Coturnix japonica: one gene and its partner. The protein of the gene in region 1 binds, or shares a complex with, the protein of each later gene. Links are inferred from orthologs where the notes say so. Each region holds a gene or a part of one and is shown on either strand. Other genes may lie near its edges. The genes, in order: TMEM237 and B9D1.

Region 1 (3,888 bases):
TCGGATCTTTGTAAAGCAAGACCATTATGATAATAGTGATATTTCTGCATCTGACTTAGCAAGATTTTTGTTTTTTTTATGATATTCTGCTGAAGCTATTACTGTAAATATGTGCATACTGGTGTGTACCCTGACTAATTGGTTGATGTGCTTTTCCCAGGACTGCAGGTATGGAGGAAGAAATTATTCAGCCATGGATTGTGGTGAATCTGGTAGTATCTATTCTGGTTGGGGCAAGTTGGATCTTCTTGTCTTACCGACCAGAGCTGGACCACAGTGAAGGTAGGAAATGTTAACTGGCAAAACCTTATTTGTTCAGACTTGTATCTACTGCGGTCTGCATTGGGTGCTCAAGTGTAGTCCTGAGAAATGTTATGAGGAACAGATTTGTGTCTGGGAGGACAAAGGTTAAATGTGCTTCTTCAGATTTCTCTAGAATGTTAATTCACAGCTTTCTATATTTCAGCTGCTACCAGTTTATCCTGCTTAATTCTAATAACTCATTTAGCTTAAAACACATAATTAGTTGGCAGCTTTTACAATTACTGAAAGTAAAACTTACAGTAGGTGTCTAAATTATAATTGCAAGTCATTCTTAAGTAGTAAAAGGCTTATTCAAGGAAGACAGAGGTGTGATATAGCCCAGGTTTTGATGAGATTTTAGATATTTTCAGATGTCAACTAAAATTACATAATATGCTTTAGCAATTTCAAGAGAAAATTTCTGTTTGGATTTATCCCAAGTAGTAAAGAAATTATAATGGAATGGCAAAACAAAAAGAAGTGTGTGATTTCCAACTTGAGTGGAAAAAAAAACAGTGCTGCACATACAGATTGTGTAATTTTGCCGCAAATTGTTGGCAGACAGCAAATTATCAGGTCTCTAAATGGAAATCTTCAGTCTTGGTTCTGACACATTCAAAACTGGAACAACCCATCAGTCTACTTTAAAATACAAATTCAAGTGTCCAGGCTGAAGTCTACTTCCTATAAGCAGCTGCTAATGTCAGTGCTAGTTGTGTTAACCTAGGGGAACAACTATAGTTTTACTAAAGACAGTGGTGAGTGTTCCCATTACTGAAACAAGGGCTACGAAGAAAAGCAGGAGGCTTGGGGAAATTCCAGAGATCTTTTTTGGTATAATGAAATAGTATTTAGGTGAAACTTGTTCGATAAAACCAGTGTCCTTTTCTCTTTCTTTCAGAACTGATGTTTCATACTGAAATTGAGGAATTTCCCCAGGGAGTTATCATACCCAGGGTCCAGCCATAGTGCGGAACATGCACCTCGTAGCTGTAACTGATGGCTCAACACTTTCTGTATTTTAACCATGTATTATAACTTTCATAAAGGAAAAAAAAAAAAAAAGTATTTTTATATTGTATATATTTCATGGGTCTTTTATGTATGCCAATTTTTAAATATTCAAATGTCTGAAATCTTTTATATATCTCCTTTTTGTTTTGTAAAGGAGATTATCTTTAGTACATAAAGTCAATGTTCACTTTTGTAAACATTGCTACCTACACAGCCAGAGGAAATGGGTGAGTGCTGAAGATCTGCTATTCAGTGCTTTTTTGACAGCAGTGCGATATTGTCATCATCAATCTATGTTTTGTTACTGATACTGATAGCAGTTGAGGTATATCCTTTTTCTAAGATATTCCATAGAGATGAAAACAAATCATAGGAAGAAAGCAGTTTAAGTAAGTAAATGCAGACGTCTTGCAGTCTCCTTAGCAGACATAGGCAAGAGCTAGTCTGAAATCCATTTCTCATGCAGGTATCACACAGGACTAGTTTTACGTTTTATTTAGTATGTACTGAGTTTTGCATTATTTTATTTAATATATCTGAAGGTGGTTTTAACAGGAGTGCAGTGTCAAAGATCCCTGGAGGTTAATGTGTTATAAAAGTGATGGAGAGTTTAGCCAGATGGAAGAGTGAAAGGGAGATGTTAAAGAGGTAGTAAGTTTCTGTACTGCTGCCTAAGTTGGTTTAAAACAAGAATGGGAACATGAATAACTAGGGCAGCTTCTGCCTTGTCAAGGGTTCTAGTGTGCTTATTTAACAAATTTCAGTAATTCTAGAAAGTAAGTAATTACATAATTCTAGAGAGGGGGAAAAGAAGTTATTCTGGACTTGAAAGATTTTCCATAGCTGCTGGTTCTACTTTAGGGCATCCACTTGGTTGTGGGAAGGAACTCTTTAACTTTTTAGTCGGTTGTTATGATGTGTATGTGTTCTTGTAAAACTGTGGAGCTCAATTACAGCTGGTGCTGCATTGTACATTATAACAAAGAGATTCAGGATGCTACTCTCCATCAGTGTTACATCAGAGGTCCTTGTGATTTGCTGTAGGAGATGGGAGCTCAGGCCACGACGTAGTGTTCCCACATAGGTTTCCACACAGGAATTTCCTTGCAAAGCAGGAAATGCACATCACAGTTTCTTTGAGTGTCGTGTGTTTGGTTTACAGAATTGCTGAGCTCCTGAATATGAGATTATTAATGGATTGTATTTGCCATTTCATGCTTCTGTCATCTTGGCATGTGATAAAAAGTATAACTTCTCTCATAAGGTACAGAGGTTAAACACAACCGTGCAAAGGCATTCAGTCAATATAAACATGAAGGACATCACTGCTTGATTTCATTTCTGAAATTATTCCTAGGAACTGGCCTTCTAAGTATCCCACAAATGAAGCAGTGCCAGCCAGGAACCAGATTTGCTCTCATTGTGAAAATAGTTGGCTTACATGGTTGAGCAGTGATGAAGTTTTTGGACTTAATGGAATCAGTAGTTCAAGCCATACTTGCCTTCCTAGTTTGTACCTTTTTTTTGAGCACCAGAATATATAAACCTAAATGAATGAAAGAGGTTTGAGGATTGCCATTCAAAATCACAGATAAACAATTTCATGGCTTATTACCTCTTTTACAAGGTAGTTTTCATTCCATTAAGCATCACAATGGAATTTAACTGCTTTTTGTATGTGTGTGTGTGTGTAATTTTAGAACATCTTAAAGTTTACAGAATAGATGTTTAATTGCAGAACATGTGGCATATGTAGAAGCCTTAATTGAAATGTCTTTGTGCATTTACAATGGTTTTTGATACAGTATTTTGTGTCCAAGAAAAATTTGCAGAGAAGTTAGTGCCAATTTTTAAGTATCTGAAACAGGTGAGGAAGTGGTCTGAATGAATATTAGCTTGTACTACTTTGAACTGTTTCCGATTGTTTAGTTTGTTTAAAATAAAACAGTCTAACTTGTTTTTTCCTCAGTGCTAACTTTGTTACTGTATACAAACTCTGAGCAGATGCTGTGGGAAAACATTGCTTTCTGTGTGTGTTTCCATTACTGCTGTAAGTAATGGCTGTCTTTTCTTTCCACCAGCAGGCTCCTGCCACTGTTCTGGCCTTCTGCACTCAGAAATAGCTCTGTAAAACCCCAGTAACCAGCGAGTATGCTCACTGCTCTGTGCTTTCTGAGGTCTGGATTGCTTCAGGAGCATTCCGGCTGCTTAGGCTGGACTTAAGGAAGGAGTGTTTATAATGATGGCAGTGAGGCAGTGGCACAGGTAGCACAGCTGCCGCGTCCCTGGAGACGCTCAAGGTCAGACTGCACGGGGCTGCAAGCACCTTCATCTGGCGTATGTCCCTGTTCATTGCAGGGTGTTGGACCACAAGGCGTTTCAGGGGCCCTCCCAGCGCCATGATTCAGCGATGTAGTGCAGCGCAGTTCCGTGGATGCCCTGTGGGACGCAGCCTGACAGCGGCCCGCCATCATCCCCCTTCCCGCCTAACGGCCGGTGCAACCACACGGCCGCCATCTTGGCTGTGCCTGAGGGAGGCGGGGCGGCCATTAAGTACCGCCTGTCATTCCT
Region 2 (4,282 bases), on another chromosome or scaffold:
CGGCACCCATCACTGACTCAGAAACACCCCTGCAGCCAGCGCGGGGTCCCCAGTCCCACCGAGAGCCCCCCAACCCCCCAGGGCTGCCTCCTGGAGCCCTCCGACTTGGCTGACGAGGAGGTTCGCCACATTAACAGCTCAGCCAAAGACTGGGGGGAGCACTCGGAGGCTGGGAGCTGCTCCACATCACCATTCGTCTCGCCGGCCACATCGCCGGTGCCCCTGAAGAATTGCAGCACAAGCAGCCTGGTGGCAGGCAGCGGCAAGGAGAGGGACTTGAAGAAGTTTTACAGCATTGATACAAAGGGCTTCCTCACCAAGCCCAGCTGGGCGGATGACCAAAGGCGACACTCCATCGAGATCTGCCCCTCCGTCCGCGATGGGGACTGTGGCTTCGAGGAGCGCACCGAGGAAAAGCCGCGCTCCCCTGCCCACATCCAACCGGAGTCCGAGTACATCCATGGAGCCAGGAGGAAGAAGAAGATGAGCCCGCCCTGTATTTCTATAGATCCTCCCATGGAGGATGATGGCGGGGCGGCCTCACGCACCAAACCCTCTGAGAACAGCATGCTGCGCCGCAGGACCCCATCCTGCGAGTTCCCAGCATATCGAGAGCCCCTGGAGCCAGCGGAGGCGCAGCCAGGGGAGCCGGGCTGCAAAGCAGAGCGCCGTGCACAGCACTTGGCCATCCCCGGCTTCTCCTTCGAGCAGTCGGATGGCGGCTCCCTGAGCAGCCTCTCGGATCTGCTGGACAGTGGGCGATCCACACCGGACTGCGAACTGAGAAAGCCGGAGCCTTTAAAAACTCAACGGAGCAACAGTGAGAAAAGCAAAGAGCTGCTCAGCGTGGCCAAGAGCCCCGTCCGGATGCAGGACTTGGTGACTGTTGCGACAGAAGAAGACATCGACGAGCCCGTATAGCTGTCTGGGAGGGGGGTGCGGGGGGTCTCAAGGGCTTGACACCGACATGGGGTTGGACACCGAAGGGGCTGCGCGGCCGCGTGGCCACACTCTGGTTTTTCCCTTTCAAGCAGTCCCTTCTTCTTAAGCGCTGTGGAGGTTTGCAAAAAAACAAAAACAAAAACAAAAAACATTAAAAAAAAAAGAAAAAAGAAGAAAAATATTATTATTATTAATTATTATTATTATTATTTAAGAAGAAACCAAACAAACGGATGAAACGGTGCCGGGTTTCAGGGTGGGGGTTCAGAGGGGGCAAAGTGGATGTGGTCGGGGGGGGGGTGGCTCTCAGTCCTCTGCGCCCTCGGTCACATTGATCCGGGTGGAGGCGGATGGGGGCTGAGGGTTCTCTTTGTCGTTGGGGTGGGGGGTAAGGGGGCTCTTTTTGTTGTTGTTGTTTTGTTGTTGTTGTTTTGTTTTTAAAGATGCTCAACTTTTTACAAGGCACTTTTAGAGACGTCACACGCCGTGGGAGCGCCCTGGGGAATGGGAGCTGTACGTTGTCTGTATATCAGCAATTATATACATAGAAACGATGTACTTGTGAGATACAAAACGAGGAGAAAAGAGAAAAAAAAAATAGAAAAAAAAAGAAAAAAAAAAAAAACAAGAAAAAATACTCACAAAAAACTTCTTCTTCTTCTTCATAATGCACATATTTTTATAGAGAAACAATACTGGTTTTTTGCATTACGTGTGACTCCGCGACCGGGTGGTGTTTCTTTGGGTTTTATGTGGAACTGATTCTTACAGCCCTTCATTGTCCAAATGTTTCTGCTCTTCCTTTGCTCTCCTTTCCCCCCTATACCGCCACCATCAGCCCACAGCTCCTCCTTCCGCCGCCCCTTTCATTTTCCCTTTGTACTTTAGAGGTTGTGTCCTAACCAACAGCAAGGAACCAAATCACTACTGAATTGTAGCCAGTGCAATAATAAGTTATTCATTCTTCTCGTCTGTACAATGATCCTTTCGCTCGTTTTCTTTTTCTTCCTCCTTTTTTAACAGAAATTCAGGTTAAACGCTGCAATAATCTGAAGTACCGCGCACAAACGAGGTGTCCCACATTGCACAAACAAACAACAAACAGAGGCGAAACAATAAAAGGGAAAAATTTCAATCTGAAGAGATTCACAGAATAAATAGTGAATTATTTAAGACATGTATTTTGTTGCCTGCAGTTTGAAGTAGGTTGTTGGTGCAGTACGTCGAGGTGCAAAGAGCTGTTGGTGGCGGTCCATGTGAGCAGGCTGGGATCTGTTCTCCTCCTGGCTGTGAGGTCGCAATGGTGGCCATAACCCCTTCCATTCTTAGAGTGGTAATCAGCTCCAGTGAGGCTGGGAAAGGCCCCTCGGATCCCCAACCCAACCCCATCCCACTGTGACACCAAACCACGTCCCCCTGTTGTTCTGAACACCCCCAGGGTGGTGAACCCATCCCTGGGCAGCACTGCCAGCATCAGCGCTATCTCAGAGGAGGAATTATTCCTAATATCCAACCTGAACCCACACCCACATAGACGTTCCTCCACCACATTCCAGAGCCTTTTAAGTTCAAGTGAACACCGTTTTAATATATTTTAATATACATTTATTTAGTTTTGGGGGTTGATTTTCCATTCGTAGCCTCTATTCCCTGCTCCTTCCCCACTCCTCAGCCAGACCCTCTGCTCGGATCAGCTTCACCACAGAGCACTGACACCATGAGCATCATCAGCCCCAGCACTGCAACACCAGCAGCAAAAAGACACATTGGGGAGGGGAAAAACTATCAACCAACCAACAGAAAGAACTAAAGCAACCGTTCTCCTTTGGTTCGTTCCATGCCGCCTCATATTTATGCATCCACGTATATCTTCTGTTGTTTATGCATTCATTACTCGAAAGGAAATGTATCTTGTTTCACATGTATTAAACTGTATAAACTGGAAGCCTGGCTTGACTTTGTGAGCATCCCCAGGGACCTGCCTGCTCTGTGCAATCAGCAGCCAGGGGGGGATTATTGCAGTTATTCCTTCCCGTTGGTTTAATGAGGGATTCTGGAAAAGCACCATTAATTACCCAACATAACGAGGGGTGGGCGCCTCAGAGACCCCCGACCCGAAGCTTTTCTCCCCCCTGACAGCCCTGTCTCGATCTCCTTGCATTGCAGCATCACCTAGCGGCCATTTCCCGTGCTCTTTAGAAAGAGCCGCCCGAATTTGAGGGGGGGGGGTCTCCGAGGCCCCTCCCCGCATAGTTTGTCCCTTCCGCCGCTCCGTCCGTCCTCATGGCAACGGCCACCGGCAAGATGGCGGCCGCCAGCAGCCCCAGCGTCTTCATGGTGGCCGTCAACGGGCAGATCGAGAGCGGGCAGGTGAGGCCTTGTTCGGTCCTCGGTCCCGTAACCCATCTCCGGTCTGTGCCGTGTGGGCCGGGCCCGGCCCCGTTAACAGCCTCTCCATTGCAGTTCCCTGGGTTCGACGACCTCTACTGCAAGTTCTGCTTCGTCTACGGCCAGGACTGGGTTCCCGCAGCGGTGAGACCTCGTTTTGTGCCCCCGGCAGCACCGGGCTCACACCGAGCTCACACCGGGCTCACACCGGGCTCACACCGAGCTCACACCGGCTCCACACTCGGGCTGACACGAGCTCAAACCGAGCTCCACACTGAGCTCACCACCTAGCTCCACCTGCTCACCACCGGGTCACCACCGAAGCTCACACCGGGAGTCACACTGAGCGTGCACCACCGCAGCTCACAACTGACTGCTCACACCGAGCTCACACCTTCTCACACCGGCTCAACAGCGAAGCTCACACCGGCTCACACCGGGCTCACACCGAGCTCGACACCGGCTCACACCGAGCTCACACCGAGCTCACACCGGGCTCACACCGAGCTCACACCGGCTCACACCGAGCTCACACCGAGCTCACACCGGGCTCACACCGAGCTCACACCGAGCTCACACCGGGCTCATCACGGGCTCACACCGAGCGCACACCGCTCACACGGCTCACACGGGCCTCACACACCGAGCTCACACCGGGCTCCACACCGGGCTCACACCAGCTCACACCCGGGCTCACAACCATCTCACACGAGCTCACACCGAGCTCACACCGGGCTCAACCGACTCACACCGGCTCACACGAGCTCACATCGGGTCACACCGATCTGCACAACGCTCACACCGAGCTCACACCGGGCTCACACCGGGCTCACACCGAGCTCACACCGGGCTCACGGCGCTGTGTCCCCGCAGGGCCTGGAGGAGGGAATCTCACAGATCGCATCAAGGAGCGACGTGGCACCCACCAGCTTCGTCTGGAACTTCCCCATCG

What was found.
Region 2: TMEM237 (region 1) and B9D1 share a complex: the UniProt entries of both Homo sapiens proteins name them as parts of the tectonic-like complex. The link is inferred for Coturnix japonica from reciprocal best matches to the Homo sapiens genes TMEM237 and B9D1.

Annotation. Positions count from the first base shown.
Region 1 is NC_029522.1:9,988,020-9,991,907, reverse strand, and holds the end of TMEM237 (transmembrane protein 237), read left to right. Parts: intron 1-160; coding exon 161-282; intron 283-1,204; coding exon 1,205-1,272; 3' UTR 1,273-3,280; downstream 3,281-3,888. UniProt on the Homo sapiens protein: Component of the transition zone in primary cilia. Required for ciliogenesis.
Region 2 is NC_029529.1:5,249,477-5,253,758, reverse strand, and holds the start of B9D1 (B9 domain-containing protein 1), read left to right. Parts: upstream 1-1,284; 5' UTR 1,285-3,225; coding exon 3,226-3,312; intron 3,313-3,405; coding exon 3,406-3,474; intron 3,475-4,203; coding exon 4,204-4,282. Other genes in the region: CACNA1H (voltage-dependent T-type calcium channel subunit alpha-1H), read left to right, coding at 1-921. UniProt on the Homo sapiens protein: Component of the tectonic-like complex, a complex localized at the transition zone of primary cilia and acting as a barrier that prevents diffusion of transmembrane proteins between the cilia and plasma membranes.